Linked DNA regions of Arabidopsis thaliana. The protein of the gene in region 1 interacts with the protein of each later gene in a pairwise test. Each region holds a gene or a part of one and is shown in the gene's direction. Other genes may lie near its edges.

Region 1 (10,246 bases):
TTAAATGATTAGAAAGAAAAGAAATCTTTATATGACTGACTATTGCAGATGATAACATGTGGATGGTTAGATTGTTTGATAATCAAATGTGGCTAAAATTTGGATTTTTAACCTTAGAAAACGAGTTAAAGTATTTAAACTAAGATACTAATTCAAAGTTCAAATCGCTTAACACACTTTATTAATTGAAAAAAAAACTTGTACAATGATTATCAAATGAAAATTTCATTATCAATTATGTAATGTCAAATGTTACTTGCTCCACTATAACAAGATTATATAATTACTAAATTAGAACCCGTACAATACACGAGTTAATCAATATATGTTTTTCTTACAAATTTAAGTTCGTTTGTTGTAATCGTATGTATATATTATGTTAAAAAAAAATTGAAAATTTAAAATATGTTTTTAAAGTTTCAACAATTAAATCGGGTTTTATGAATTTTTAACCGCACACAAATCACATCCACATAAAAGCTGTATTCTATGAAAATAATAATCAAAGAACGAGGAAGTAATGTTCCTTACAAAACCTTAACACAACAACACTTATCAATGAAATCACAAGAACTATTAAGAAACCTCTTAGGCTTAAACTCTTTTGGATCCTTCTTCCTCCCAATTCTTAGTATCTCTATTAATCGCCCAAACATTGATGAAAATCTTTAAATCTTTCAGAACCGTGTATCCCGCAACAACCGAGGTTTTACTATTCCGGTGAGGAACTGTAAGATAAAGGTAGCGTCTCTTTCATTATAGCTTGCAAGTAAAGTAACCTAGGAATATGAGGCTCTTTAACCGATGTATCGAACCCACCAAGAACCATATCCATAAGCAATGACTTGATATGAGTCATTGATAATGGAGCTTTCTCATCATCATCTATAACTCTCAACAAATACTGAAGAAAATCTTCTTCTTCCTTCATCACTCTTTTTGCCAACCATTTTCACATGATTCTCCATCACCTGATCGACTAAAAGATCAAGTTTTCGACATGAACTCGCATTTCCTTAGTTAGTCTTTGGAAATCAAACCGCGCGAAAACCATACGAGTATTTTTGAGCTTCCTTCGATATCTGGAATAACAGAATCAGTTTCTTGAGCTCGTTTCCAAGAATTGTTCTTTCTTCTTCTTCAACAATTGCACCCAACATCATACGAGTCATGACATTAAAGATCGAAAGAAATATCTGTTCTCCAAGATTCACCCTGTTGAGAGTATTGCTGCTAAGAGTATGAAAACAGAGGAGTGCGGATATTTAAAGAAACTGAACATTGAAGCCATTGGAGATTACTCGTGAAAATAATGACAGATTAGTTACTTGGATTCTTAGAAGAAATAGAAAACCAACATTGCAAGAATCTAAACAAAAAAAGAAAGTAGAAGATAAGCCAAAATAGTTAATCAAGAACATAGTTTTGAAAGTTTTATCTCATGAACATAATCACAGATTCTGCTTATTTTTTTTCTTTCTTTTTTGCTTTCATGAAATCAAAAGGAAACAAGCACAATTCTTCTGTGTCATTCATATGATCTCAGAAAGCAAAAACTATTCCCTTCGTGTCTCAAAAAAGTCCTTTTGAATCTTATTATCTCTACTTTTCTTCAGGATTCACTTGCTGTCTGGACCGGCGTGCACAATCCTGGAAACTCTTAACGAAACCGCTACATTTCAACGGACTACCGATGTTCTCCTTGTAGCATTTCATCCAGGCTTCGTGATCTGACGAACAAGGCATTGGTTTAGGTTCCGGGATCTTAAACTCTTTCTCCCTCAGATCCTTGGCTCTCTCCGTAACTTCACGAACAATGTTCTTCTCTTGTAACTCCAGCTTCTCAAGAACCTTCTCACTCTCTTTCACAACGGATTTTATCGATTCCAGCTCTGTGCTTGCTGCTCCTTGTGGTGGTATTGGGAAGAAAAACGGTGGCTGCATCGGTAATTCAGCCACTGGATTAGGTTTCTTCTCTTCATCTTGGTTTGTTTTCTGTTTGCTCTGTGGTGAGACTTTAGGTTTGGTTTTCTTTGCCCTCCTCTTTGGTTGATCGTTACCTTCAGCTAGCTGATTGATCAGCTTAGAACTGATCTGAATCGAGAAATCTCCCATAATTACCTGGAAGATGAAATACATCCACACAACTTAGTAAACAAGAGTATCTCCTCAAAATCTAATGCGAGTCTCAATGTGAACATCTCACAACAAAGCTTCTTCACATCAACGATTCACGCAATAGATTTTTGAAATTCTCTGCTTATAGTATTTCAAAGATCTTCAATTTCACGAATCAAAACATCGAAACCGAAAGCAAACAGATATCTAATCAAGTTCGTAACTAAGAAGATGATAGAATCAACATCGATCGATACAAAATCGAAGGAGTAATTCTTCGACATCGATATAGATGAATTCTGGAAACTTAAAACAAAAACCTAGAATCTACACCAAGCTTCAATAAATCGATGCAAAAATTCACAGATTACCTGGGAGGAGATGAACAAAGAAACGAATCGGTGAACGGCGATTCTCTCTTCTTCGCCAGAAGAAATCTTGTTACAGCTGCGAAACTGCGACGCTCTTCACAGTAGATCTGGGCTTAGTTTGCAAGATTAAAAAAATACTATCTTTAGCCCAAGTTATCTTATTGGGCCTAGAAGGCTATTACATTTATGTACATATAAACAAAAGTTTATTGGGCTACCTGATATTTCCTCTAAATGTTTTTATTTTTTTTTGACAAAACAAATACTAAATTTTCATGCATTACTGTATACAGAATTATTCATTTCATTTTTTTTTTATACTCTATCGGCTGATCCGGTCAGTTTTAGTAAAAACGCACCAATATGCTACAAAGTGGACTATTCCCGATCCAGGTAGAGTTAGACCACCACACTACCAGATTCGAGTTTGAAATGTCTTTCGACTAATGTTATAGAATAATCAGGTCGTCTCCATTTCTTACTACCATATAAACTAATTAAAGCACGACCCAACCGATAAATTTTCCAAATAAATATAATTTTATTCTAAGAAAGAATCGAATTTAGATATGGGAGTTTCACCCTTCGCCAGAGTTTTCTCTAAACAAAACGTTGTACTTCTTCTAACACAGACTAATCACGCATGTTTTTACAATATTATAAAAAAATGAATTAATTTGGGAAAAGCCCTCTACAGCTAAACTTACAAGTCAGTCACCCATGAAGTGGGAAAGTTTTACAACATAAATTAGATTTAGTTCTGTATACGTACGTGTCAAATAGGTGTTCGTCTTTATAATTTTTCCGTATAGACAACATGCAAAGATATATTACTATAACTCTATAAGATAGCTTATTTGTTAATTAGCCACACGTGTATAAACGTACGACTACGAACAAAAATGTTTACTTACTTTTTGCGGTATTGTCCACGGCAATGCCTAAACTAAGACAACTTCATAACCTTTGACGATGTTAGATTTCGAACACTAATTGTATATTGTTTTTATCGAAAAATCTTTACTATAATAAGTTTTTGTATCAGTAGCAACTAGCAAGTGTCTTTTGTATGTTATTGTGTGTTCAGCTAATTTTAGGATCAACTGTTTTAATAATAAAATATTCCTTTCCAAAGCATTAGGATTTACAAAATTTACCATTCAATCAATGGTTTACACTAAGTCTGAATCACATGCTAAATATATATGCATACCTTCCTATATTTGTTTCATCAAAACATATTCTAATTGAATTTAAACTTTCATTTTGGTGTTAAAGTTCTACTGGTCGTACGCGTGTACATTCGCAGGTATGTACCCTATCATTTCACATTAGTTCAAAAGTCATTTTCAGTTTTCACCAACCAATTAATCAAGGTTTTCCAACACTCCTCAGTTTTCGTAAAATGATATTAATTAAACAACTATAATTAAAATCCATAACAATGATTTATTTTAGACAAAAACATTAACTTTTTTTCTTCACCAAAATGATTTGATCATAAGAAATCGTATATATATCGAGAAAGAAACATTTCTATCGACATTAACAATTCTGTGAAGTATATATATATACGATTTCTAGTTTATCCTCCAAAATGTTTTAATCATCTCACCATCACAAGTTAGTTTATGCACGCATGTGATGTATAAATATTTTATACGTGAAAATGAACCATGCATATATATTATTGTTAGGTATACTGTATACATAGAATATTGATCATCATAAGAAAGGTACAAATTTAATTTCTTGGAAATTGTTGAAATTTCCCCATCACACATACCATATTAATTACCATGTATTTATTTTTTAAAACTATACGTATTCTGGATAATTACTTTTATATATGTATTCAGGTTGTTAATTCAAGTAAATCAAATAACATGTGATGCGTATACCTTAGACGTCGTATATTTCTGTATAGTTACTTTATACCAAAAGCCTATATAATTTATGAACCTAAAGCCTAAAGAATGTTTGCAATAATCTGGCTAATACTCACCATACTTAAATATTTAGATCGTATTTCGTTCTTCTGTACTCTATACACATTTTGTTGGAAGGAAGAATTTTTATTATTACTAAGATCGAACCAAATATTTATATTTTAGCATCTGATATATAATATAATCATGAAAATATTTGATCTAATCATATTATAAAATATTCAATTAACTGCAATCTATGCAATTATAATGATTACTTCCCACGAACAATAATGATTGAATTAAAGAAGATGATTTTAACAATAAATTCCTAACAAAACATATAGCGTCATTAACTATTTGGTTTCACTACTCACCTAAGTGGGTCAAATGAGATACTAATTTTCTAACTAAAATAAAAAATATGTGGTGAATGATGTAAGAAATACTTGGGTTATATATAGGTGGGTGAGCTTAGGTGCTTATAGGCTTTTGACAGAAATCTTCTAATTGGTATATACTTTCTACTTTCAAAATATTTAAGGTCTCATCTCTCTCTCTCAAATTAACACACAAAACATATATAAACAGTCAAATATAAATTAATGGGAAGGCAGCCATGTTGTGACAAGCTCATGGTGAAGAAGGGGCCGTGGACGGCGGAGGAAGACAAGAAACTGATAAACTTTATCTTGACCAACGGCCACTGTTGCTGGAGGGCTTTGCCGAAGCTGGCCGGTCTCCGTCGCTGTGGGAAGAGCTGCCGTCTACGGTGGACCAATTATCTCCGACCTGACTTGAAGAGAGGTCTTCTCTCCGACGCCGAGGAACAGCTTGTCATCGACCTTCATGCTCTTCTCGGCAACAGGTTTGAGCTTGTTTTAACCTTGTATTTCGTTTATATGTAATTGATCATTTGTTATATATTTTTACTACACATTATTAAACATGCATTAACTAAGCCGAATTTGTTAGTAATCTTTTTTTTAACAACAACATGAATTACGGATATAAATCCAAATATCGACAGCACGAGGATATTATCATAAACAACAAGGCTATATTCCAAAAAACAATTTTCGGTAGGAATGTTAAGTACTATATGCCAAATTTCACCAATATATTGTATCATATGCATGTTGTTAGCTAATTATGTATTTACCAAAAATGGTTAATCTTCTACATATAATCATATGATTGTCATCATTATAGTCATATAACCCGAGGTTAAATAACGTTCACCTATACTTATATACAAATAATAATAAAAATTAGTCAATTCTAAGATGTTACTTTTTGTGAAACACAGTAAAAAAACTATTAACATATATGTTGACTAATGATAAATGCTGTAGAAAATGTATTTGTGATGTACAATTGAAAATTAATCCATAATATTTTAATATAAGATAATGTATGGATCATTTGAGACTGAATAGTTTTATAAGAAAACGATATATCTTAATTCAGTTTCCTTTCTTTGAATTAAAGTCTTCTAAATATTTGTATAAAAAAGTTGTACATCTTATTTCAACTTCGAGACAAAGTAACGTTCCTCGTTTCCAAATAGAATATCATAGCGTATATATATTGTCAACTTTCTTGTGTTAGATTCCAAGACACAAGACTTTGACATCTCCACCAACACCTAGCTCAAATCATTATTTTTCAAAGGTAAACATATTCAATGTAACTAAACATATTTCTTAAAATTCTTTTTATGTATATATAGATGGTCCAAGATCGCTGCAAGATTACCAGGAAGAACAGACAACGAAATAAAAAATCATTGGAATACTCATATCAAGAAGAAGCTCCTTAAGATGGAAATCGATCCTTCGACCCATCAACCTTTAAACAAAGTATTTACCGATACAAACTTAGTCGATAAATCTGAAACTTCATCGAAAGCCGACAATGTAAATGATAATAAAATCGTAGAGATCGATGGGACAACGACAAATACAATAGATGATAGCATTATCACTCATCAAAATAGTTCAAATGATGATTATGAATTACTTGGTGATATAATTCATAATTATGGAGATTTATTTAATATTCTATGGACCAACGATGAACCTCCTCTAGTCGATGATGCATCATGGAGCAATCATAACGTTGGTATTGGAGGAACAGCTGCAGTTGCAGCCTCAGACAAGAACAACACTGCTGCCGAGGAAGATTTCCCGGAAAGATCATTTGAAAAACAGAACGGCGAAAGTTGGATGTTCTTGGATTATTGCCAAGAATTTGGTGTTGAAGATTTTGGGTTCGAGTGTTACCATGGTTTTGGTCAAAGCTCCATGAAGACGGGTCACAAGGACTAGCATTTGCAAGAATACATAACATATATACCGATATACTACATAATATGTGTATATAATTTATACGTACGCATCATAAAAGTAATGTAAGAAAAATCATGTAAAGCAGTAAAGAAGCACCATGGTTTTTTCAAAGTCTAATATTAGGGGAACAGAAAAAGGATCACTAGGAGTTATAGTAAGAGTTATTGACTTATTTCCCTATCTTTTATGTCTGTTTCCTGCATTTATTTCAAATTATAATTAGTTCAACCCAACAGTTTTTTCGCCTTGATTTTAAATTCTGTTTTGTATAAATTTAATAATTTATGCTAGGATATCCTTCATTAAATTGATTAAAAATATTGGTAGTCAAATTTTTCTATGTTGATCAGGATTGATTTTTAGAGTAAGTCCATGATTTATTAAATCAACCGGAAAATACAGAGCTTTTTTTTAATTTGTAAAATCGTTGTAAAAAATAATTTTGTTGAATTTGGTGTTCCCCAATAAATTAAAGATGAATTTGGTGTTCCCCAAAATATATAACTATTTGATGATAATTAATTTCAGCGACTTTGATAAAATTTATCTGTGAATTTGAATGATCTCATGATAAAAGTTTACCAAAATTCTAAATTTACAAAACCATCTGGACAACTAAGCTTCTTGTTTATATCTGTTTTATCATTGGCCAGATAATAACACACAAATATGAATTGAGAAAGTAATAAATATATTGCCAGTTTTTTTTTTTTGAAGCTATCATTTTACGTGGATACAAAAAAGACTTGGTGTGTATATTATTATCATTAAATAATAAAAAATCGATATTGAAATTTATTATTTATGTGAAAGAGTTCAAAAATGGACATCTCTACATCACATCCTGGCGGAATCAATTGTCACAACTCACAACAATAATTTTGTTTATATCCAATTGCAATTTGAAGCAATTTCTCTTTGTGGAAATCACACATGTGAAATATATAACTTTGAGTTACAACCATATGAACTAGACAAATATCTCATCTTAAATAGTTTGTAAGAATATCCTAATCAGTAATAATCTATTAACACTAAAAACTAAAACAAAAAAGTAATAAATACTACTAACAAAACTAAAATCTATTTTCTTTTAGCTACTTCGAAGAAATAATTTGGAAAAAATAAAAAAATTGGTCAAGAAATGTATTTTTTTTATATGAATCTCTAATTATCGTAGGAAATAATTGTAGAAATAAGTTTCTTTTCTACAGATATATTTAAGACACCTAAATTAACCGCTCTATAATGTCATATATCATGTACAAACAAGATTTTCAAGTGCACGATCACATTTCACATATATTAAATTTGAGTTGTAATAAACAAAATGACATTAAAGGCGACAACAACAATATTTTTAAAAACTCTAGATGTAAAAAACAAAATTCAAAATAAAACGCCATGTATAATTGATCCAAACACAATTCTCACATATAGCCGGATAGGAATATAGGCTATAGTCTATATAAAGCACTCCAATGGTTAAGAATATATAATTCAATTTTAATAAAACATCGCAGCAATCGTGATCACGACGATTCCGACCAAGCCTGTTCCCGCGAGTTTGCTTGCGGCATCCTTGTCAGATTTGGGTGCTCCTAGAAATGACGAATCAAGTATTTTTAGTAAAACTTGTGTCAAATTGAGAAATCTTTTTACAATCTCAACCTTCGATTTTAATTTTTTAAAAATGCTTAACATTTTCCTCATACTTTACGATAAATTTTATCAAACTTAACAAAACATATTAGAATTGTTCCTTACCTGGAACAGGTGCTGCCGTCTTCGGCAAAGGAGCCTGGGCTACAAAATACAAAAGGACAACAAAAATCACATTATCAAATATGAACTGACCTGGTTACAAAATATATCTACAATGTGTATGTTTCTTTGCTAAATAAAACTAGCAGCAACAATAATGTGGTGGCAAAGCTGCAAATAAATGATGTATTCTTTTTATCTATGATATAAACATATATATGAGACTTGTTTTAAAAGAGATAAATGGCATTTAAGGCGACAACAACAACAATATTTGGCTATCTAATGTTTTAATGCATGTATTCTACAAAAGTTATAACCAAAATGTTACCGGCAGTTTCGGAACACAAGTTGGGATCAGTGGTGAGTCCACAAGTTTTGGAGAAAAGAGCATTGAAGTCGGTGACATTGAAAGGGATCAACAACATTGGACTTTTGATGAAACCGCAAAGACAAGATAGCTGAGTTGTCAACGCCGTCTCTACGGCTGTGCAGCATTCCTGCGACGGAGGTCCTCGCTGAGTAATTGCCGGAAGACAAACAGCCAAACCAGCCGCACAGTTCATAGCTTCGTTGACTGAAGGACTAGGAGCCAGCGGAATATGAGGTCCCTGTCCTGAAACAGTCGTAGCTGCCACTAGCAATGTGGCTAGGAGTAAGATCAAGGTGGTGGTTTGAGCCATTATTAATCGTGGGAGAATCGTTTTCTTTTGTTTTTGATGCTTCCTTAATTAGTATGTATATACACAATCAACCGTGAAAGTTATTGACTTAGTGATAGGGTTATGTCAGCTTGTGGTATATGTATACTTCTAATTGGCATAGTTTATTCGTGGACTTTTGTAACACAAAGACATATTCTGTTCCAAATTTGAAACAGATATTTATATCTGGCATAATAATATAAGTACATCCAGTGAACTAATTACTAATTCACGGACATTTTATTAGGAAAGGACCCGGCAAAGAAAATGATTGACAATATGAATTGCCCTGGAAAATAATAATAAAAATATAGAAAGAACCATGATGCACGTCAGAATTCGAAATTAGAATTAGCTAATGTAATCAACTATTATTTTTTTTCTTAATATAAAACCTATGTTCAAAGTGGTTCATACGGTCACTATGAATCTATGATAGTTTACTTCGCCGGCATTGAAAATGCTGAATAGTAGTGAAAAGTTATTTTTAAAACATAGTTGGTGCGATGAAGAACAAATTGACAAAGAAATGGTAATATCTATCTATAATAATCTGCCAATGCTAGAATATGTGGAGCCGCAAAATGGTGGAAACCGCCAGAAAAGTTTGTAAGAGTTTTTACATTTGTGTTATTGCTGACTAAGCTTCTTAGTTTTTTTTTATTTAGTGACAAACCATTAAATTTTATTATATGACAAAAACGCATGCTATGGTTTCGAGTTTACGGGATTACGGGCTTCGACCCAGAATCTCCTGGTATTCAAAAAAAAAAAAAAAAAAGACAAATGATATGCTAAGAAAAAATAAGAAAAGTAAAGAGAGATGTTTTTTTTTTGGTGAGAAAATAAAAAGAAATGTTAAGATAACATTAAAAAGGTTATTTTAATAGTATACTATTTTATTTTATTTTGAACAACAACTCTTCTATTAGAATTAGGTTTCCATACAAGAGGCCAAAAGAGCAGTTTTTGCTAATGCATTGGCTTGCTGATTGTTTTCTCTAGGAGTA
Region 2 (10,536 bases), 6.7 Mb from region 1:
ACAAAGTCTCCTTCTTTTGGATACATCTTGAAAGAAGAGAAACTAGGTCGATCACATATAACAAGATTTCAAGAGAAACTGGGTCAATGACTTTTTTGTTTACATATTATAATTCATATGGTTTAAAAGAATCATTAACATAAAAGGACATGTGTGACAGGATCAGTCGGCAATGTTGTAATCCAAGTTAAACTAAATATCTACTATAGAAGTTTGACACATTCAAATAGTACGACGACATGGGGATAATAAAAGTACGGAAACACTCTTTGACTTTTATGGATTTCTTACAAATTTCTATCAGACAACTGTAGAATATGCCGCTAGTCACGTAAATGTAATTATTAAAACATTATCAAAAGATTGATCGGAGAAGAAAACTCAAGAAATGGTCAAATATGTTTTACCAACTTCGTAAAGAATAAAGAGAAAGTAAAAGAAATCAAACTCTTTCAAAGTGGAAGCCGTCGTCTCTCGCTGACTTCTTCTTCATCGGTTTTTCTGTTACTTGTATGTGAAGCCAAATAAACCTGCAGAATTCACGGTTTGAATATGAGAAGAAAGTAGGATTTTAAATAATAAAAGAAAAGTGAGAGAGAAGACAAAGACCTCGTTGCACAAAAGCCCATCACAACCAAAATTACTAATTAGACATGTGTGGCAAATGTTATGACTGATCATCATGCAATAATTCACCGCCAATACCATAGATGCTACCAGACTTTGTAGGCTCTCTCTCTTTAGTAAATAAAGCACTTTGTTTATGTTCGTTTAATGTACCCATAATTAGCTTTAACTATTTCACTCTACTCTATATATTACACACACTATCTCTTCCATCTTCCCTCCACAAACCACACATTCAAGCTCTTACCTTTTATCCTCAACTAACACAACAATGGCTTATACTCTGCAAAATCTGACAGCCACAATTGTTCTGGTAAGCCTGATTCTTGGATGTACAGAGGAAGTAACCGGAATGCGTTACATTCCCATTTCCCCCACTCCCAGTGAGAGCAAACATTCAGACTTTCCTGTAAACATGGTGCCTCAACCATCTAGTCTCATTCCTGGTTTTGGAAGGTTCTTGCTACCTCCCACACCTAAGCTGCCATTCCTTCCTTACAAAGATCCCCTTGCTGTTGCCCCAGCCACTTCAAATGGAACTCCTAGTAATAAAGCCCGCAGTCCGAGTTCAGGAGAAGATGAAGTTCCACCAGTGCCACAACCATGACCTGTCAACAAATAAGCTTTTGCTAGATGCAGAAGGGTATTCAATTCTGGTTCACATAACAAGTATACTAGTCATTTCATCATAGTCATATATCTTCATGATCTCTCTCTATATATACTTAAGAGGATATTGAATAAATTCCAGAGCTTTTGCTTACATACTATCTAAAAATAATATTTCCAAATAAAATGTAATGACTCACATTGCTGCAAATGTATTGAGTCACAAAAGAGTAGAAATATGTAGAAACTCTTCAATTGAATCATTATTGCCATGATTGAGTCAAAAGAGAAACTCTCTTTACAAAGTCTGAAATTTTGTCAAGATATGTAAAATCTCAAAGTTTCAAAGTAATCTCAGCATTAGCATTTAGCATTAACAAAACCAACGACAACTACGATGTATTAACAAATCAAATTTGGAAACTTCTAAAACAATGCGATGATAATGGACAAAGAGATGTCTTGGAAAAGTCTATTGGAATTGAAGTTTCTGTCTATCCATAGCGAATTGGAAAAAACGATCACCATGACCAAAAACCAAATCGATGAAGGTTCGTTCAAACACCCAATACCTTGAAGATGATATAACAAAGAAAGCAGAAAAATATAAAGAGGAAAAGATAATCAACGAACACGAAGAAGTTCGTGGATCCATGGTTTCGGTTTTTCATCTTCGTCTTCTTCTTGTCCTCTGACTCGTCCTCATCAATGGGTTCAATCTTCGCCATTGTAGTCCCCGTGACCAATACGCCGATCAAGTTTTCGCGGGATTCCGAGATTGCTCTTCTTCTCCGATCGATTCGTCGTTCGTGTTTTTTCCCTCTGAGATACTATTATAACTTGAGCAAGGTAGGCCCATTTTGGGACCATAGGCCCAATAAAGAGAAAAGCCCAAACTACGTACGTAATGTTGACTAGTCAACTAAAAGTGGGAACTTGGGCAATGAAACGATCTTTTTCTACATCTTGTTCCTCTGTTTCACAAGTCTCTTTCCAGTTACAAATGAGCAGCCACGACCATAGAAGGTTTGGAACGGCGGGTCCTTTAGCTGCGGACGAAGAAGGTCAAGGACGTTTTGAGAGCTCGGTGAATGCGGTGCCATTTGGTTTGGTTGCGACCGGAGTTTTGATTGCTATCTTCCTCTTAATTGCTTTTTTTGAGAGGTTCATGTTCGTTAAACCAACTCCATCACCACCTCTCGACCAAAAGTTTCCTCCTTTTGCTTCCCCCAAGGTTCATAACATCTCCTCTCTATTTGCTTTTATATTTTTGCCTACGTTTTTTGTTCTGTTGTTTTTTTACTTAGTCTTTTAACTCAAGTGAACATTCTGATTCACTTGGAATTTGCATCTAAATGAGGTTGTGATCATCAAACATTTGTGATTCATAACTATGCTTGTTTTTGTTGGGTGGTGAGATTAAGATGAAATAAACCTGCCAATGCGTATAAGTTATTAAGTTTAATGAAGTCTATCGGTCAGGATCATGATTTACCAGGGTTTATGCTAGAGGAAGCTCTTTTGTCGTATCTTTGAAAAATGGTGCAAAGTCCAAAACAGGATTACATTAAATGTATTATTTTATGGGGATACAAAACCCCTTGATTCATGCAACGAGGTTTGAATATAAGCAGAGTAGAAAATAAGATATGTTTAGAGGAATTCACTACCTATTTGTCGACACACTAGTTGTCTTTTGTGAGATGATGATGTCATGTATAATCTTGTGTTGTTTATTTGCAGATGGATGTGTGTAAAAGAGAGATATCGGTGTTGATGCCTGGAGAAGATGTCCCAACGTTCATTGCTCAGCCATGTCCTCCCTCATCATCATCAAGCTCTTTCTGAAACCTTCTTTCATCTCATTAAGTAGGACTTTTTATCAGACAAGTGTTTATGTAGTCAAGTGTTGTTAAACAGAACAGTGTTTCTCTGTTTGTGTCTGCTTATCCCATAGCAAAAGAGCAGCAATCTCCATAAAATAAAAAGCCATGGAATTTGTGAGCGTTGTTGCGTAGGCTTGCCTTTTACTTTACGAGTCCACAATAAACAAACCAAAAACGAAGATCCGCATAAGATTTGGTTAATAATTATACATTCCGCAATTTACAAATCAAAAAAAGGGAAAGAAAAAAAACAATCAATCACATCAGAGTTAATAATGATGAAAGGAGAAGAGATCATCAGAGAAAGATGAAGCATTCCATGGACACTTCAGGGTCTCTCACAGCTGTTACATCTTCTTCCTTCTTTACCTCAGCAGTTACTTTCTCCGTTTCTTCTTCCTTCTTCTTCACCTCTGTTGCTCCGTCTTTCTCCGGAGCTCCTACTCGTTTCTTCATGGGGCTTCTTCTTGCAGAACTCGGGGCACGAGTGGCTGGAGACTGTGAGCGACGCCTCGGATTATCCGATAACCCGCTCCGTGGGAGTGGACCCGAATCCACATTTCGCCGGTTGTGAGTAGGGTTTGGTTGACGAGACTGTCTCTCTCGGACTAACCTAGGACGGAGCTGCTTCCCCTGAGGAGAATGTCGTTCTGCCGGAGATCTGAGGACTCTGTCAGGCCTGTTACGGCGAGAGGTGGAAGAAGAAGGAGGAGGAGGACGGTGAGGTTTGCTGAGAGCATCGTCTTCGAGGATGGACGCAGCGGTAGCAGTTGTGGCAGTGGAGTAGCTGTGAGAGACAGAGACGCTGCAAATGTCGGACTTGCTGTGAGAGATCTCCGGAGCTGGAGGTGAGAGAGGAAGAGGAACTTGAGCTTCTGAATCTGAGACTGTTGGTGCGGAAGGAACGAGGTCGGGGACTGGGACAGGGACGGAGATGGGTATGGGGACGGAGACAGAGACTGATTGAACAACGACTTCTTTGACGGATTCTTCTTCGAGGGGTGGAGGAATTTGAGCGGCGGCGACTGGTGGAGCTGTGACTTTTCCGGCGCTGAAGCAGCATCCCATTTTCTTTCTACTTTTGCTAATTCCTCTCTCTCTCTCACTCTGCTCTCTCGAGAGTCGCGAGTCATATACTTGTCAACTTTAATGGGCCTCTTTCTCATGTTGGCCCATATTCACTATGGGCTCGATTATGCTCTTTTGTTTTATCCACTTTGATAAAGAATCTGATATTTGTCTCATTCATTCATATCTTCAAAGACAAAACGCTAGTGTTTGATTTTCTTTAAAATATTCAAAAGAAAATTATGCGGATGGACAAATATCTCGTTAGATAGCGACCCATCATCGTTGGGATAATTTCAACACACAACTGCCGATTGCCTTGGACAGGGACACCGGACATGTAACGACAGTAAGTAAAATGCTTAATACTTATACTACCAACATCTTCCTTTTGGTCGTCAAAAATGTAGTTGAAGATAAGAACTGACCATCATTTTTTAGCTCATCATCCATCCACTATGTTGCATTTACCTCATTGTTGAATAAGAACGCGTTGAGCAAGCTACTTTTTCATCTTTAGTTGGTTTTGTGTTAAATAAAACTTGAAGTGGAAAGAACCTAACATCGTTGCTGCAAACTTGATATTCGAATATTTATAACCACCATCTTAAAAACAAAAACAAAATATGAGAAGTTTAAAAACATGACAAAACTTTGAGTAGAAATCAGAAAGGGGCCAAGGCTCGTAAACTTCTAAACCCCAAGCCCATAATAAATGTTTTGAATCCATAAGTTCACTCCCATCCGCTACTCTTTTTTTCAGTTTCTTGGGAACAACTAGGAGGAAAGAGAGTTTTTAAAGTTCAAAGTAAAGATGTTGTTATACAAAAATTGTGTTGACAACTTATTCATATTCATGTCTCTGTAAAGATGTTGACATAATTATTTCACTTTCTTCAAAAAAAAAAACTGGCGACATTTTCTTTAATTCTCATTTATCCATTATGTACTTTTTGTTTTTGTTTTGCAACCCATCCATTGTGTATGTACTTAAGATAACAACAACAACAAATATACCATATATAAATCATATGGTCTACATACAACACTAGTATCCTCATCCGTATTAAAAAAATGAGTTCCTCGAACACATATAGCTACAAATATAGAGATATGACTTTGGGGTTTGAGCGCATTGCAGAATACCTAACAGGCATAGATGTCAATGACGTCGTCGTCATGTACTTGGTTACTAGTTGTTTTATAGACAACTAGTTGATTAAACCTTTTCTTTTAACAATTAAACAAACCAACCTTTATATATTTCTTCAACTTTTATTTTATATAAAAAAATAGCCAATAGGTGTGGTGGTGAAATGACTCGGTAACCAATGAATCCTGGTGAAAGGGAAGAGCCAAGAATTTGCAGAACCTCAAAGGAAAAAAAAAGGACCTTTGAAAATTACAAAATCAAGAACTTCTTGAAAAGAAGTAAGTACAAGAAATAGAAAAAGGAGTTATGACATTATAAAACCAAAGAGGAACCTGAAACAATTGACACAACCCTATTCCTCAACTTCTTCTCTCTTATGTCTTATCAAAAGCCTCTCACCCACCGCCTCTGTTCCTGCTCCTCTTATCAACCATAGAAATTCTCTCTCTCTTCCCTATATACAATACAATGTTATGTAGGTGATACATACTATAACATAGTTGTATATAAACATTAATATAATGGAGAGGTCCCATGCCCCCACGAGTTTTGTTTTGTTGGCCAGCTAATTCGCATCCTTTTTGTTTTGTTTGTATAAGAGAGTTTCTTTGTTACTTACTATAACCACAAGACCACAAGAAGGCCAAAGAGAGGCTAAACTAAAAGAGCTCTCTTTCTAATTTATTTCTCTCTCTTCTCTTCTCCCGAAAAGCCCTTAATAAGCTTTTGCTTTGATATCAGATCTCTCTTACGGCTTTTGAGATGCGTGCTCCTTTAGGGCTTTCCTTTTATACCCCAAAACGAGGCCTTTCCTTCTTCTCTCATCTCCTAATTCTACCCTCTTCCTCTTCCTCTTCCTTCTCTCTCTCTTCTCATTCTCCTCATACGCTATAAGGAGAAAATCTCAGAGAGAGAGTGATGGCGAACAATGAGGGAGAGATGCAATGTGGGTCCATGTTGTTTAAGCAAGAGGAGCTACAAGAGATGAGTGGGGTCAATGTTGGTGGCGATTACGTTGAGGTCATGTGTGGTTGTACCAGTCACCGATACGGCGATGCTGTTGCTAGACTTAGGGTTTTCCCCACCGGTGACCTTGAAATCACCTGCGAATGCACACCTGGTTGCGATGAAGGTCTCTCTTTTTTTGTCTCTACTGTCTCTTTCTCGTGTCTTTCTGATGCTTTTGGGAAAATGGGTTTTGATTTGTGTGCATGTTACATGTGAATGTGTGTGAGATTAAACGTTTGTCTCTGTCTAGCTACTATCACATTGGGCTGGTAAAGCTAGGGTCTTTAGCATGATTACATATTTATCAATGAGTCTTAGTGTATGCTAGCTAGATCCGTTCTTGTAGAAAATGAAATGACTTGATTTGCCACAGTAATGTTTTAGGCTGTCTGTTTATCTGTAAATGGTAATGCGTCTCTTTGTTACTGGCCAAGTGGTAGCTTTATTGACAAATGATATGTCTCGCTTAGCTGTACGTGTATGTCAAAGTTTGATGCAACCTAGTTCTTGTGGTATCTTGTAGCTAACAATTCCATCTCTAGCTTATTTGGTATAGATGCTCATTTAGAGCTCTCTTTGAAAGTAAAAGTGACTGACTTGAACAGTTTTGATTGTATGATGCTAGACAAGTTGACACCAGCTGCATTCGAGAAGCATTCTGGAAGAGAAACGGCAAGGAAGTGGAAAAACAATGTGTGGGTTATCATTGGGGGCGAAAAGGTTCCATTGTCAAAGACAGTATTGCTCAAGTACTACAATGAATCATCAAAGAAGTGCAGTAGATCAAACAGATCACAAGGTGCCAAAGTTTGCCATAGAGATGAGTTTGTTGGGTGTAACGATTGTGGTAAAGAGAGGAGGTTCAGGCTGAGGAGCAGAGACGAATGCCGCTTGCACCACAATGCAATGGGTGATCCAAACTGGAAATGCTCAGATTTCCCATACGACAAGTAGGTGTCTTTTGTTGTCCTTGTATGTACTTAAGTTTGATGCAAATGATGTATTATATCAATGAATGGTGTGGTGGTCGTAGGATAACATGTGAGGAGGAAGAAGAGAGAGGGAGCAGGAAGGTGTACAGAGGGTGCACACGTTCACCTAGTTGCAAAGGCTGCACTTCCTGCGTCTGTTTTGGCTGCGAGTTATGCCGTTTCTCTGAGTGTACTTGCCAGACTTGTGTCGACTTCACCAGCAATGTCAAAGCTTGAAGAAGGCAGTCCATTAAGAAAAGAAAAAAAAATGTCTGTCTCAGACTTTGTTCGTTGCATTTAATAACTTATTCTAAAACTCCAAACAGTTAATTATCTTATCTATGGGTTGTGAATGGAGCAATTGAAAAAAAAGTAGAAAAAGTTGATTTCCAAGAAGAACATGCAGACGAGCATGCCTGAGTTTAGTGCATGTCTAGATTTTTGGCTAGTGGCAGGGAAAAGTGTTATTAATAGTTTGTTGTTACTCTTTATTTTATTAGCTGTTGACAGCTTTGTGAGACGAAGTTGTCAATGGCACAGCTACTCGGTCTGTGATTTAGCCATTTAGGAGATGGGACATGGAAAGAGACATTTTCTTAATACCCAAAAAGCCCTGACGTCTTGTTTTGAACACAGTAACCATATGGGATCCCTTAAGTGATGTATACTTTTATTATCAACAACAAACATTAGAATCATAAAGACCAAGTCGTCACCAGGTAAAGAGGATACGAGAATAAATTCATCAGAAACATGTGAAACATGTGAAACGTGAAACCAAAGACGTAGAGGCATGTATGAACTTCAACATGTTTTTGTATCAAAAAAGTGTTTTAGAGTATAACTAGACTCATAAAGTAGTACATCGACTCCTGTTCTGTTACAACCAAAATTCATATCTTAAGGATCACATAACTGAAACCTGCATCCACAAATACGAGGCAAACATAGTGTTTCCTTCATCATACATACTAGACTACCTATAAATCAGAGATCAAACTATGAAATCCGCGGATTCATTCAGAGTCTTTCTCGCACGCCAATACACTCCATTGGCTGTCTCTGATGTTCCCAGCTGCAATAAACATCAGAAAGATTGTCAGTTAGCATACTTGACACTAAGTCATAGTATTGGTTTTGGTCAGGGTATTAAGAATCCACTTTACCTTTGTCTCCAATGAGTAGTAATTCTTCCACAGCTCCACGTCTTGACCGTAACTTGCAACAGCAGAATCATACAGCTTCCGGGCATTACTGAGACCATCTTTATCACCTACTGATATGAGGTTGGTCTCTATTTCAATGCAACCTTTGTATAGAACAAGACTGGGACCAGGAAGAGCCAAGAACCTGCAGTTTTACGGTAACAGTGGTGAGAATAAAGTCCATGTGTGACTCAAGGGACTGGAGGAGTAGTGACTCACCTCTTGTATATCTTCCTCGCACTGTGGGCCCCTTTTGTTTCAAGAACAAATTTCACCACTGTGGAAGCAAGAGAAAACACATGGTCGCTCCCATGGCTTTTGGTTGCTGATAGGATGGACATCTCTACAAGTTTGTCCAAATAAGTTCGCTGATGAGCAAAGAAATTAAAAGCCTGCAATACAATAAGCATTTTATTAGTGTAGTCTTAACAAACTAGTGTATTGTCTAGAAAATATATTAGTCACATACCATTAGCCACAAGCTCTCAGATTCTGAGATCGGTACTTTCCTCAAAGCATTTGAAAGGAGCTCAAAGACTGTCTGAAAATCTGCTTTACTAGGAGATGAGTTCTCTGAAAGTGATCTTATTTCAATGGAAACTCTTGAAAGCCACAACTTAGCTGATCCAGCAAATTTTTCAGAGCAGAGCTTTTCTGCTAGCTTCTGAGCTTCATGAGTCTTTTCCAGTTTCAAGTACAGAGAAACATATTCATCAGCAAGCTCTTCAGTCAAACAGCCAGTTTCATCAGCCTTTTGGTACACGTTTATGATATGTGAAATGATCGGATTAGACAAAGAGGAGATTTCATTCTCGTCGCCGTTTGACTGTACAATAGCCTCCATCAGAAAATTTATATAAATCTCAAACATAGAACTTGACGTAACAGTTTGCAAGCCTTCTTCAAAAACCTGCATTCAGGGGACAAGATTTAAGACCTATCAGATATTGTACTTTCTAGTTTCTACTACTAAGCCGAAACAGATTGTGGTAAAGCAAGTTAGTATAGTCCTAAAGAAAAGCCCCCCCATAACCAATGTTCCACCTGTCCTCTCCGACATTATTAAACTAGGCAATTTGACTTCAGGTTCAAACCAAAAAGAGTGAGCGTAAAATCAAGACTAAAGATTTGATCTATGTTAAGGAAATGCAGCACAACTATGGCCGCCACATTCTTTAACAGATTTCAGCATTTAATAAATTTCTAACCCCTAGTCATAAGTTAAGATTTGTTTACCTGAATAGCCTTTTGCATTTGAGGATTTGCAAACTCTAGGCCTGCCTCATTGCTAATACAACCACTCATTTCATGTCTTGCAAGCCAATTCCAGTATTCAGGTTCATTGCAAAAATCACGCTTCAGGTCACTTAGAATGGTATTGCGCATTTCATCTGAATGCGCTAAGTCTGTTGCCTCTAGAATCTCCAAAAAACGCTTCCTCAAGTCAAAACTAGATGGAATAGCCTCAACGGCTCCACTATAGATGGTCTGAAGAACATTGGACCCTTTCTCTTTTAAGAAATCAACTTTCTCAGTCACATCCTCAACATCTTCGACAATAGAGTCCTCGTCATTCTCTTCTTTTTCATTTCCTTCTTTCTCATCTAGCGACATAAATAACTCTTTGTTCTCATCTTTCCATTGCTCATCCTCAACGGTTTTCGTGTCACGCACCAAACTTCCTTTATCTTCACCAAGGGCAACTTTACGAGCTTTCAGCTTATTTAGAAAAGTAAGTTCCATTCGCAGATACTCAACCCACAGGTCTTCAGAGTTTGAACACACTCTCAGCCCATTCAGCATAAGAGCACGAGCTGCTGTAACATTCAAGTTTCTATCAAATTCCCAAGATGCAGCATATATCCACACTCCAGCCACTTTTGGATGAAACCTTATTGCTTGAGCCAATGCCTACACATGTTTCAGATAATATAAACGCAATTAAACATCGACATATACCCACCAAAGACAAATCATTAACAAAGCAACCAGCAAATTTCAAATCTTTT
Region 3 (11,240 bases), on another chromosome or scaffold:
TGACGAGACATTAATGGTTGACGAGAAAAAATCAGAGGATGAGTCACACCCGCGCGTTTTCTGCACGCCGCGTTTTGGATTGAGCGTTTACAACGCTGCGATGTCCACGTGGCATCGCGTTGCGTTTCCAGAGGAGGAGCAGATCCCGCTTTTCTGCGAGTGCGTCGTGCTTCAGGACGCCGGGAAGATTCTGCTCATCGGCGGTTGGGATCCGGAGACGTTACAGCCGACGAGAGACGTTTACGTTCTGGAATTCGCCGGAAGGAAGTGGAGACGAGGTGCGCCAATGAAGGAATCACGATCATTCTTCGCCTGCGCCTCCGTAAGTCCAACGAAGGTATACGTCGCCGGAGGTCACGACGATCAGAAAAACGCTTTACGCTCGGCGGAGGTGTACGACGTCGAGAAAGACGAGTGGTCGTCGGTTACTCCGATGACGGAAGGAAGAGACGAATGTCAAGGATTCGCCGTTGGTATGGGTCTAAGGTTTTGCGTGCTGAGCGGTTACGGAACGGAATCTCAAGGAAGATTCCGATCTGACGGAGAAATTTACGATCCAGCGACAGATTCATGGTCGAGAATCGACAACGTCTGGCGATTTCCAGATACTAGCCCGAGAGGTCGCACCGCCGGAGACTTTAGAAGCTCCTCTACGTTATGGTGTTTCACAGACACTGATTTACAGAGTGAACGTCGATGGGAAACTAACGATGATTCGAGAAATTTGAAACTGGATCTTCAATCTATACAGCTTCCGATGACAGGAAGCTCAGTTTTCGCCGGAAGCTTAGGAGGTGAATCGGTGGTAATGATTGGCGGTAAAAGAGAGAGTGAAGGTGAAGGTGAAGGAGGAGTGATGATGAAGATGACGACTGAGAAGAAAATGGGAAAATGGAGTCATCATGTTCATATACCTTGTGATTTCTCTACTCTTCCATTTTCGCATGCTTCAATCTATGTTTGAAAATCCCAAAAGATTTTATAGTACAACATTGTGTTCTGATCTGATGTAATATACACCAACACATATAAAAAACAAAGAACTGGTTAACAAAAGGAAAAAAAGAATTGTAGCTTGAGATTGTTAAAATGTTTGACGATGATCATGATCAGAGCATTTGCCAGTCATCTTCACGTTCATCCTCGCTGTCGTCATCCGCAAACCCGTAGTTGCTTTGGTTTATCGCTGTGTGGGTTTGAGTCACTGTGAACAATGGAGCACCGTTTGATTCCTCAGCTAGTTTCAATGCTCGGAGACAGAAATCGTCGAAATCATCTGTTGAAGATTAGGGAAAGGTTTTTTCAAGTTACAGAATTTAAAAACTTTTGGTTTCAGAGAATGTAGTAATACAATACCTTTGTCGCGGCAATAGAATCCTAGAGCTAGAGATGGGTCGAGTGATTCCAAAGGAACATAACGAAGGACACTGATGCAGATTCAAGATAAAATTAAGAAACAAGATAAAACTGAACCAGGCAAAAGTCGTCTGTGACATGATAATTTGAGGAGACTCACTTGCAATGATAGGAGGATGTGTCAACATCTGGTGTTTCCTTGTTGACTGTGACCACCTAAATCAATCATCAAACGATAAGTCTCAATCAGTATCCGACTTATCATGTGAAATGGCATCTTATCCGACTTAGGTACTATGGACCACCACAATGCCAGACCAAGATTTATGGACTCTAAAAAAATTCAGAGGCACGAAATGAAACCTGTTGAACTTCATGCGGATCAAGGTAGAAACCTTTGTCTTCTTGAACACCAACTATGTAAGTTGAGGCACCTGGTTTGCCACCCAAAATCCCCACGCTCTGAGGAAAAGTGAATGTGGCTACGAGAGATGGAATGTACCTGTCATCAGATTATAGCAATACGTCAGAAAGGTCAAGTACAAATACGAGTCGAGCATAACAGAGATAATGGAATCAATTTCACAGTTGCAAACCTGGGATTCACACTGTCAAGCCCAAGAACCAGTGGAACCAAAAGGATAATCGGTGTCCACTCAGACTGTCCTTTTGAGAATTCTAGACAAGATTTGGTAGCATCTTCTATACAGAGAATTGGAGCCCCACCTCTCTCTCCATCTTCGCTGCCAGAAACGATATGAACAGCCATAGGAAGCGTCTGGTTTTTAGAATCAGTTTGTTTTCTCTTCTTGCACGCTAATGACTCCCACGCTCGACAAATGGCATACGGTCCTACCCATGACCCAGCAGCGAGACCATAGGACGCTCCAGCTATTATAAGATTGTGGATGGAGAAAGCTGAAGGCTCGGAATCACCAAAAGGTTCCAAGGTCTCTAAGTATTCCTGTTCAGGAAGCTGCATTTTTAAATCAAACAAGCATGAGGTTTCCACTATCTCAATGCAAGAAACCGGGTTTCTGTTCCTAGTGTTGCTACATTGAGCTTACCTCAGATTTCTTAGTCCAAGCCCTCCCCAGCCTATGGAAAAGCAACGCCTGATAATATTTGGTTTGTCAGAATATGTTATAAACTTCAAAATCTCATGCCAAAAGAAATACTCTTCCTCACACCTGAGCAAAAAGCATCTGGCTACTTCGAATCATGCAACCCCAGTTCACATCGCTGGTATAAGTTGTGTCTCTAAAGGGTTCAAAACCTGTAAAATACAATTCGTAAATGGTAAATTTTATGTAAAAAACTTTATTTTGGCTTTAATCTGTAGTTGAGTTTACAAACCTTTACGATATGTCATCAGTATTTTGGATGAAAAATCTAGTTGCAATGCAGCCAATACAGTGCCAGTATCGGTTTCCCCTGAGTTCTCATCCGCAGATATTTTATAGCAGACACCCAAGAGCCATACGTCACTAGTTGTGCTCGGAAGACCGGTCCTATTAGGCCCTAAAACACGCTCCTGGAATCTCCTAATTGCTCCACTAGCCATAGAGACTCTTTTTACAAATGCTGTCCAACCATTACGAGTGGTGCAAACTTGCTTATGCCCAGAAGTTGAAGACTCCCTATACGGTTGAGAAACTGAGGAAGAAGACGTAAACACGTTTGACCATAAGGTAAACTTGGACTTATTATCACTAGGTCCAGAATCTGAAACTAAAGGGGATTTATCATGCGTATCACTCTTGCTTGATGAAGAACATTGTTGAGGAACAAATCTATCACATAAAGCCTTCATTACCTAGACATGAAGCACCAACTGCAACGTGTCCTTCTCATAGAAGCAACCTAAATCCTGAGAACCTTATCTGAAATAATAAGCACAAAAGACACTGAATTAACATCCAACATACTTTTAAGTAGTATCAGAAAGCCAAGATTGACTAAAAACTTCCACAATTAACTTCAAACACTACACAAGATTGGGTGTGTGTGACTTCAAGGTTCAGAAAAGTTTAATCAATTAACTCTCTGAGACCATAACTATAGTTTTGTGACCACTGAAGTTCAGCTTAACACCCCAAAAACAAGTAAGCATGTAACACAATAACGATTCTACAATTACAAACACTAAGCAGATTTTGATGAGAAAATAAACCCAATCCATAGCTTCTTGACCTCTTGAAACATCACAACATAGAATTTTCCGCATGATATTAGGAAGGTTTAGGGAGTCAACAGAGAAATATAAACCAAAATTTTAGAGATCAAAGCATTTGGATTCCACATGCATATTCTCTTAATTGAAGAATGTTTCTAGCAAATGACAAAATCAAGAAACAGACTTGAGCTTGACGAAATTTCAACTCACGGATCTACAGTAATCGAAAATGATCAATTAATCAACTTAAATTTTGACAACTCCTCTTCGTGTAGCAGAATTTCATCATCCAATTTAGCCCAGGAATTCTCACAACTCCGAATTTTTCTAGCAGAGAGAAAACAATAGGAAAAGAAACAGAAGGATCACCTGAGAGATCGATCAAATGGTTTCAGCAGACGACGGAGATGGAAAACGCAAGGGGGAGATCGATTTCGTGTCGTATCTTGCTCGCTTCAACGTCCCGTCGAAGATACCTCAGAGCAAAGACAAACGTGTGTTTCCTTTGGAGGTTTTGGGACAATCTCAATGGCGATTCTTCTTTTTACCTTCTTCAAATCTTTCGCTTTCAACTAATGACAATCTATATCGTTTAATTATTAATTAAACTTCACATAATCAGGGTTATGAATTATGATTACACTTGTTTACCATTTTTTTACGTGGAAAAAAATAAATACTCTCCGATTTACCTGTTTACTTCGGATAAAACGTTCGAATATTATATTAACAATGACATTGATAGTATTTTACTTTACTTTTCTCCAGGTTCCTAATTTTTTTGTTAACACATCCATCAACATGTTAACAGTACACAAAATTAAAATGTTGCTGCTGCTTGCTATTAATGTGATTAGTGATTACGGCTAAAAGGCTATGACATATAAACGACATAAAGCAACAATATTAGTTTGGGTTAATTAAGCTCAGCTAATTTGGGCTAGTTAAAAAAATTGGATCGGATAAAAAAGCCCATATTGACACTGGGCCAACATATCATATCGAGTCAAGTTACGGTTTTACCCTGAAGCCATTTATTTCTGAAGCGTAATTATCAAAGAGAAAAAAAGATTAAAAAAAAAGCAACTGCCGCTCTTTCTTCTTTCTTACTGTCTCAGATCCGCCATTGTTACTTCTTCAGTTCTTCTTCTTCAACAACAACAAGAAGTAATAATTAGGGTTGAGAAACTTCGAATTCCGAAACAACAGAGAGACGTACTAGTTTTAGCCATCTTCTTTTCTTAGTTTCATCGAACTTGGTGTTACCTCAATAGGTCGACGCTCAAATCTTGCTTATTCTCTGGTTTTTAGAGCTTCTTTTAGATTCTTTCGACATGCCAGCCAGCAAAAAGGTCTGTTCAAAAACAATCTCCGCTTCATGGAAATTTTAACTTTATTCTTGATATCTGAAATTTCCAGATATTTTTCTCAGATTTCGGACCGGAATCACTTAGGGCAAGTGTTCGACAAGCTATTGAATCAGATTGGAGAATCTGAAGAATTCGAGTTACCGGAGTGGTTGAATAAAGGAAAACCTACTCCTTATATCTTCATCAGGCGCAGTATCCTTTTTTGCAATTGCAGTTTTGGTTTTGTTTCATTTTGCAGATTTAGCTTTGATCAAGATTTGTTTTGGCCTTGACTTGTTAAAGATATATACTTGACGAAGAAAGTCAAAAGGAGGGTTGAAGATGATGGAATCTTCTGTTCTTGCTCCTCCTCGTCTCCTGGTTCTTCTTCAACTGTCTGTGGGAGTAATTGCCATTGTGGGTATGCCTCTGTTTTTATTTCACTTTTCTTGATCTATCTATTTCAGCATTTCATTGATATAAGACCATAATTATCTGCTTGTTTAAGTACATTGAACTGGAAAAAACCTTATCTTTTGTGTTAGGATGCTATTCTCAAGCTGTTCCTCAAGTTGCAAGTGTGGGAGTGAGTGTAACAATAAGCCGTTCCAACAACGACATGTCAAGAAGATGAAGTTAATTCAGGTAATGTGTGATTGGTTTTGGTTGGATAGAGTGGATTTTTGTTGTTGTCGGTTTGTTATTTTAGTTGTGTCTTGTAGACAGAAAAATGCGGATCAGGGATTGTGGCAGAAGAAGAAATCGAAGCTGGAGAGTTTATCATTGAATATGTTGGAGAAGGTGATGTGACTATTTGATATTTTGTCTCCCTACTGAATATACTGCGACCATGGTCTAATTTGTTTTCTTTTTTCGTACCTTTGCTCAATGTAGTTATTGATGATAAGACTTGTGAAGAGAGGCTTTGGAAGATGAAACACCGTGGCGAGACAAACTTTTATTTATGTGAGATAACCAGAGATATGGTTATTGATGCTACTCATAAGGGAAACAAATCAAGATATATTAATCATAGCTGCAACCCTAATACGCAGATGCAGAAATGGTTTGTTGTTAACTGTCAACCCTTAGTGCTTGTTTCCTAGTTTAGAATACTTGAGAGAGAAAAGTCATCATTTGGTTTACTTTTGCTTGCAATTAGGATAATTGACGGCGAGACCAGAATCGGCATTTTCGCCACCCGTGGTATCAAAAAGGGAGAGCATTTGACCTATGATTATCAGTAAGTTTATATCCTCCTTCTCCAGTTTACTTTGTAACATATCTGTTTTTATGTTGAGTTGTGACACTAAGAAATAGAGCAGGTTTGTTCAGTTTGGTGCAGATCAAGACTGCCATTGTGGGGCTGTAGGTTGCAGAAGGAAGCTTGGTGTAAAACCTAGCAAACCTAAGATAGCCTCGGATGAAGCTTTTAATCTAGTGGCACATGAATTGGCCCAGACACTGCCCAAGGTATTTTCAAATTTTATCTGAAAAGAAGAATCAAATATATATCTCGTCTTTGCCCTGGCATAGTTTCACAGTCACTGAAAAATTTGTGTGATGAGGTCTAAGTGACTCTTTTTCTTTCCCCACTTTTGGTTAGGTGCATCAAAATGGACTTGTAAATAGACACATAGATGCAGGTAAGTTTGGATTTTTTCTGCTCAATTTGCGAGAGTAGCTTATTGTGTTTTGGTTGTAAGAAAGTAATTTGGATTCCCATGTTTCTCCAGGAAAATCATGGAACAATCTTAGTCAAAGGGATACATGTTCGCGTAATTGCATTGGTGTGGTGATCAGGTTATCTCGCCCCACGAGTGATAGGTATTTATTGAGTTTTGAACTCGTGGATTAGTTTTATGACTCATTCTATGCTTTTCTCATCCAATGTTTTATCTTTTGAGATTTTCAGGTGTTTTGGCCTCGTTAGACATTTTGATGAGTATTCAAGAAAGCACTCGGTATTACAATTAGCCAATACTTGTTCCTCACCATCGAACTTGGCAAAATCATTCTCAATTAAGACCTCTCTGTTAACATCTTTAAACTTGGTCCAGGTGATGTTCGAGGATGGTGTTACCGAGTTTGTCGACATGTCGAGAGAAGACTGGGAGATTGTCTAATATTGTTTTCAGGTGATTTATACTCTTCACTCTCTTAATGAAACATTAAAACTCCCAGAAGCATAGAGTATTAAATTACCCTGGCTGCTATGTTTCTGCAGATTGCTTTGAAGTTGAGAAACCAAAATAACCTGTCTTGGTAAACTAAAGGTATCCCAAAAAACCCGGGTCTGACTGACTGGGATTGGTGCAGTGACATTGTTTGTTGCGTCTAACTTGTGACCTGTGTTTGTACAACCATTATAAGAGATATCATATATCTACTTGTGTAACCACATCTGTACTTTCTTCTCCTTCCTTCTTTTTTCATGGGGATCTCAAATGATGATGTCTTGCAAGAACCTTCGTGGTGTGTAATTGACTTTGTAAGAACCGGTAATCTCATATCCGGTTTAGCTTTTAAAAATTTGTATCCAAAGACCGGTTTGTTCTTGTTTGCATGTGCTGTTCTTATTCGTGCATCTGTGTGAGTGTGACTGTGTCGGTGTCGCCGACAAAAGCCGGTGTTTGCAAAATCTGACCAGTTTTGTTTTAGCGATTAACGTTTCAAATTCCTTCAAATGCAAAATGAGTTAAACAAGTGAAAAATTACTAAAACAACATAACAGTTTTAAATTGGAAAAAGTTTTGTAAAGTTTAAAGATACACTGTAAGTGAAAAACGGAAAATTTTAATTAGATTTTTTTTTTTTTTTTTTTTTTTTGGTAAAAGTAGATTATTTTTGTTAAACAAAAGTGATGGATCATTGGTTTTTTGGTAGTAGGTGGGTGATGTGGGTGTGTGGTTCTGGTTCACCAACTCAAAAAGCATAGACTGCAGGGGTTGGGGATTGATAACGACAAATCTAATTGTGGTTGGTAAATCTTTTACTAATCACATTCCTTTAAAATAATTATGTAACTCATCTTGTTTACTAATATCAACTCGACTATCTTAATATCAAATAACTCGGATTCTTCATTTTTTTCACTTTAGAATGGTTTGGTAAATCTCTTGAATAATAAACACTTTAATAAAAATGTTTTTTTTTGTCAAGCATAAAAATGTAACTCATGTTGTCTAACTACATGGATTTTCGCACAAAACAATGATTAAATGTAAATTATGTAATTATACTTTATTTAAAGTATGATTTTGTCTTAAAAATGAAAATAATATAAGGAAGTGGACGGGTAAGGTAAAGTCTAAAATTCACCAAACATTTTGGAATCTCTCTGTTTACTATAAAGCAGTGAGTAGAAGAACCTGAAAGAACTCGCCTTTGTCTCTCATTCTTCTTCTCCATTTCGAAAAGAAGATGAAGGTGATAGATAAGATCCAGTCATTAGCCGACGAAGGCAAAACAGCGTTTTCCTTCGAATTCTTCCCACCAAAGACAGAAGATGGAGTCGACAATCTCTTTGAGAGAATGGATCGAATGGTTGCTTATGGTCCAACGTTTTGCGATATCACTTGGGGAGCTGGTGGATCTACCGCAGATCTAACGCTTGATATAGCTTCGAGGATGCAAAACGTTGTTTGTGTTGAGAGTATGATGCATCTTACGTGTACTAACATGCCTGTTGAGAAGATTGATCATGCTCTTGAGACTATTAGATCTAATGGGATTCAGAATGTGCTTGCTCTTAGAGGTGATCCTCCTCATGGTCAAGATAAGTTTGTTCAGGTTGAAGGTGGTTTTGATTGTGCTTTGGATCTTGTTAATCACATTCGTAGCAAGTATGGTGATTACTTTGGTATCACTGTCGCTGGTTATCCTGGTAATGTCTCGAATTCGAATTTGATTTCTTTGTTTCGTGTGATTTGTAGCTAAAGATTGGATTTTTATGTGTTTTGATATTTCAGAGGCGCATCCTGATGTTATTGGTGAGAATGGTCTTGCGTCTAATGAAGCTTATCAGAGTGATCTTGAGTATCTGAAGAAAAAGGTTTGTTTTGTTTGTTTTTGTTTTGCTTTGTTCTTAAATGTCTGCATCAATTTTTGAATTTGGGTTTGTCTTGGAACAGATTGATGCTGGAGCTGATCTGATTGTTACTCAGCTTTTCTATGATACTGATATATTCCTCAAGTTTGTGAATGATTGTCGGCAAATTGGGATTAGTTGTCCCATTGTTCCTGGAATTATGCCTATTAATAACTACAGAGGCTTTTTGCGTATGACTGGTTTCTGCAAGACTAAGGTAAGTTTTGATCGTTTAGTAAACACCAGTTCCTGCAAATGAATCACCTTTTAGGAGATGAATGATATTGCTTGTTGCCTTTCCATAAAGGTGTTTGTTTGCTAGCTTAGGATATGTTTTTAAAAAAGTGTATTTAAGGTTTCGTGATCAGCTAGATGAAATTGAGATACTTGATTATATTATTGTTTTCAGAGAAAGTGTTTGTTGGATAGCTATTCAAAGAGAATTCTTTATATTAATGTAGATACCAGCTGTGCTTTTTGTGAAAAAAAGATAGATGAATTTACATATGATTATATTAATGTAGATACCAGTTGAGGTGATGGCTGCCTTGGAGCCTATCAAGGATAACGAAGAAGCTGTGAAAGCCTATGGTATTCACCTTGGAACAGAGATGTGTAAAAAGATGTTGGCTCATGGAGTCAAGTCTCTTCATCTCTACACATTGAACATGGAGAAATCTGCTCTTGCAATATTGATGGTTGGTCCTCACTTTTTCTACTTGATGTAAAGCATGATACTGATAGTGGAGTAGCTTTACTATTTTGTTGTTGTTTCAGAATCTTGGTATGATTGATGAGTCCAAAATTTCTCGTTCTTTACCCTGGAGACGCCCTGCAAATGTTTTCCGTACTAAGGAAGATGTGCGCCCCATTTTCTGGTAACAGAGCTTAGTTTCTCTCGTTCTGATTATACTTAGCCACATATTTTACTCTGCAGGGAAAATAAGACTTGTTCTTTCTTCTAATCTTTTGAAGGGCAAACCGTCCAAAGAGCTACATTTCTAGAACCAAGGGCTGGGAAGATTTCCCACAAGGCCGGTGGGGTGATTCACGCAGTGCTTCATATGGTGCACTCTCGGATCATCAGGTACTACAATACATCATCTGTAATTGCACAACTCTCTTTCAAGATTTCATAACAAAGGGGTTTTGAAGGGTATTTCTTCGATTGGTCTTTTTGATTTGCTCTAGATTGTTAAATGTAACATCTTCTTGTGAGCTTGTTTGCTGAACTAAATGCTTTTGTTGTCAGTTCTCACGTCCGCGAGCACGTGACAAGAAGCTTCAACAAGAATGGGTTGTCCCACTGAAAAGTGTTGAAGATATTCAGGAGGTAGAACAATTTTTTCACTACCACACATTTCCCTCACTTTCACCTGTAAAGATGCAGACGCTTACAATAATCTTGCAAAAAAACTGTCACATAACAGAAATTCAAGGAGCTCTGCCTTGGAAACCTTAAAAGCAGTCCCTGGTCTGAATTAGATGGACTCCAGCCAGAGACAAGGATAATAAACGAGCAACTGATAAAAGTCAACTCCAAAGGCTTCTTGACCATCAATAGCCAACCATCAGTCAACGCCGAGAGATCTGATTCCCCAACTGTTGGTGAGGAATCAGTCCTGTTATATCTCTGTTCTCATAGCAAACAGAGTTTTGATTCGTGATTGATCGATACTTGTGCTTGTGTATGATTTGCAGGATGGGGAGGTCCTGTTGGATATGTATACCAAAAGGCTTATCTAGAGTTCTTCTGCTCAAAGGAGAAATTAGATGCAGTGGTGGAGAAATGCAAAGCTTTGCCATCGATTACTTACATGGCTGTGAACAAAGGAGAACAGTGGGTATCGAACACTGCCCAAGCTGATGTGAATGCTGTAACTTGGGGAGTTTTCCCGGCTAAGGAAATCATTCAACCAACCATTGTCGATCCCGCTAGCTTCAACGTCTGGAAGGATGAAGCATTTGAGACTTGGTCAAGAAGCTGGGCTAACTTGTACCCAGAAGCCGACCCTTCCAGAAACTTGCTCGAGGAGGTAAGTTCTATATTTTTCTTGATCTGATCATATTTGTTATTGTTTTTGACAATGGTTTATTTAAAATGACTAATGGACATTTTGATCCAAAAATGCAGGTGAAGAACAGCTACTATTTGGTAAGCTTGGTGGAGAACGATTACATCAATGGTGACATATTCGCGGTGTTTGCTGATCTTTGAGAAAATCAAGAGACAACTACAGTATATCGGTTTCCTACTGCTTTCAAGATT

What was found.
Region 2: the proteins of MYB42 (region 1) and ULT1 interact in a two-hybrid assay, tested with the Arabidopsis thaliana proteins (one large-scale study listed by BioGRID).
Region 3: the proteins of MYB42 (region 1) and ASHH3 interact in a two-hybrid assay, tested with the Arabidopsis thaliana proteins (one large-scale study listed by BioGRID).

The regions. Positions count from the first base shown.
Region 1 is NC_003075.7:7,319,890-7,330,135, forward strand, and holds MYB42 (myb domain protein 42), read left to right. Parts: upstream 1-4,866; 5' UTR 4,867-5,022; coding exon 5,023-5,285; intron 5,286-6,149; coding exon 6,150-6,747; 3' UTR 6,748-6,978; downstream 6,979-10,246. Other genes in the region: AT4G12334 (Cytochrome P450 superfamily protein), read right to left, coding at 713-933, 1,052-1,172; AT4G12340 (copper ion binding protein), read right to left, coding at 1,603-2,115; AT4G12360 (Bifunctional inhibitor/lipid-transfer protein/seed storage 2S albumin superfamily protein), read right to left, coding at 8,275-8,369, 8,536-8,574, 8,864-9,215.
Region 2 is NC_003075.7:13,979,492-13,990,027, forward strand, and holds ULT1 (Developmental regulator, ULTRAPETALA), read left to right. Parts: upstream 1-5,531; 5' UTR 5,532-6,261; coding exon 6,262-6,548; intron 6,549-6,956; coding exon 6,957-7,301; intron 7,302-7,384; coding exon 7,385-7,559; 3' UTR 7,560-7,951; downstream 7,952-10,536. Other genes in the region: AT4G28160 (hydroxyproline-rich glycoprotein family protein), read left to right, coding at 899-1,234; AT4G28170 (uncharacterized protein), read left to right, coding at 2,144-2,470, 2,980-3,084; AT4G28180 (uncharacterized protein), read right to left, coding at 3,420-4,190; AT4G28200 (U3 small nucleolar RNA-associated-like protein), read right to left, coding at 8,317-8,397, 8,489-8,672, 8,747-8,919, 8,997-9,437, 9,764-10,438. UniProt on the Arabidopsis thaliana protein: Putative transcription factor that acts as a key negative regulator of cell accumulation in shoot and floral meristems. Negatively regulates the size of the WUSCHEL (WUS)-expressing organizing center in inflorescence meristems.
Region 3 is NC_003071.7:18,253,997-18,265,236, forward strand, and holds ASHH3 (histone-lysine N-methyltransferase ASHH3), read left to right. Parts: upstream 1-4,572; 5' UTR 4,573-4,866; coding exon 4,867-4,884; intron 4,885-4,964; coding exon 4,965-5,094; intron 5,095-5,184; coding exon 5,185-5,302; intron 5,303-5,426; coding exon 5,427-5,526; intron 5,527-5,603; coding exon 5,604-5,682; intron 5,683-5,775; coding exon 5,776-5,947; intron 5,948-6,043; coding exon 6,044-6,124; intron 6,125-6,206; coding exon 6,207-6,354; intron 6,355-6,487; coding exon 6,488-6,527; intron 6,528-6,617; coding exon 6,618-6,708; intron 6,709-6,796; coding exon 6,797-6,845; intron 6,846-6,941; coding exon 6,942-7,007; 3' UTR 7,008-7,019; intron 7,020-7,108; 3' UTR 7,109-7,546; downstream 7,547-11,240. Other genes in the region: AT2G44130 (Galactose oxidase/kelch repeat superfamily protein), read left to right, coding at 1-964; AT2G44140 (Peptidase family C54 protein), read right to left, coding at 1,110-1,276, 1,357-1,427, 1,517-1,572, 1,720-1,858, 1,953-2,332, 2,424-2,471, 2,547-2,632, 2,713-3,169; MTHFR2 (methylenetetrahydrofolate reductase 2), read left to right, coding at 8,305-8,767, 8,853-8,935, 9,015-9,188, 9,496-9,669, 9,749-9,849, 9,947-10,058, 10,224-10,304, 10,402-10,579 and 2 more. UniProt on the Arabidopsis thaliana protein: Histone methyltransferase.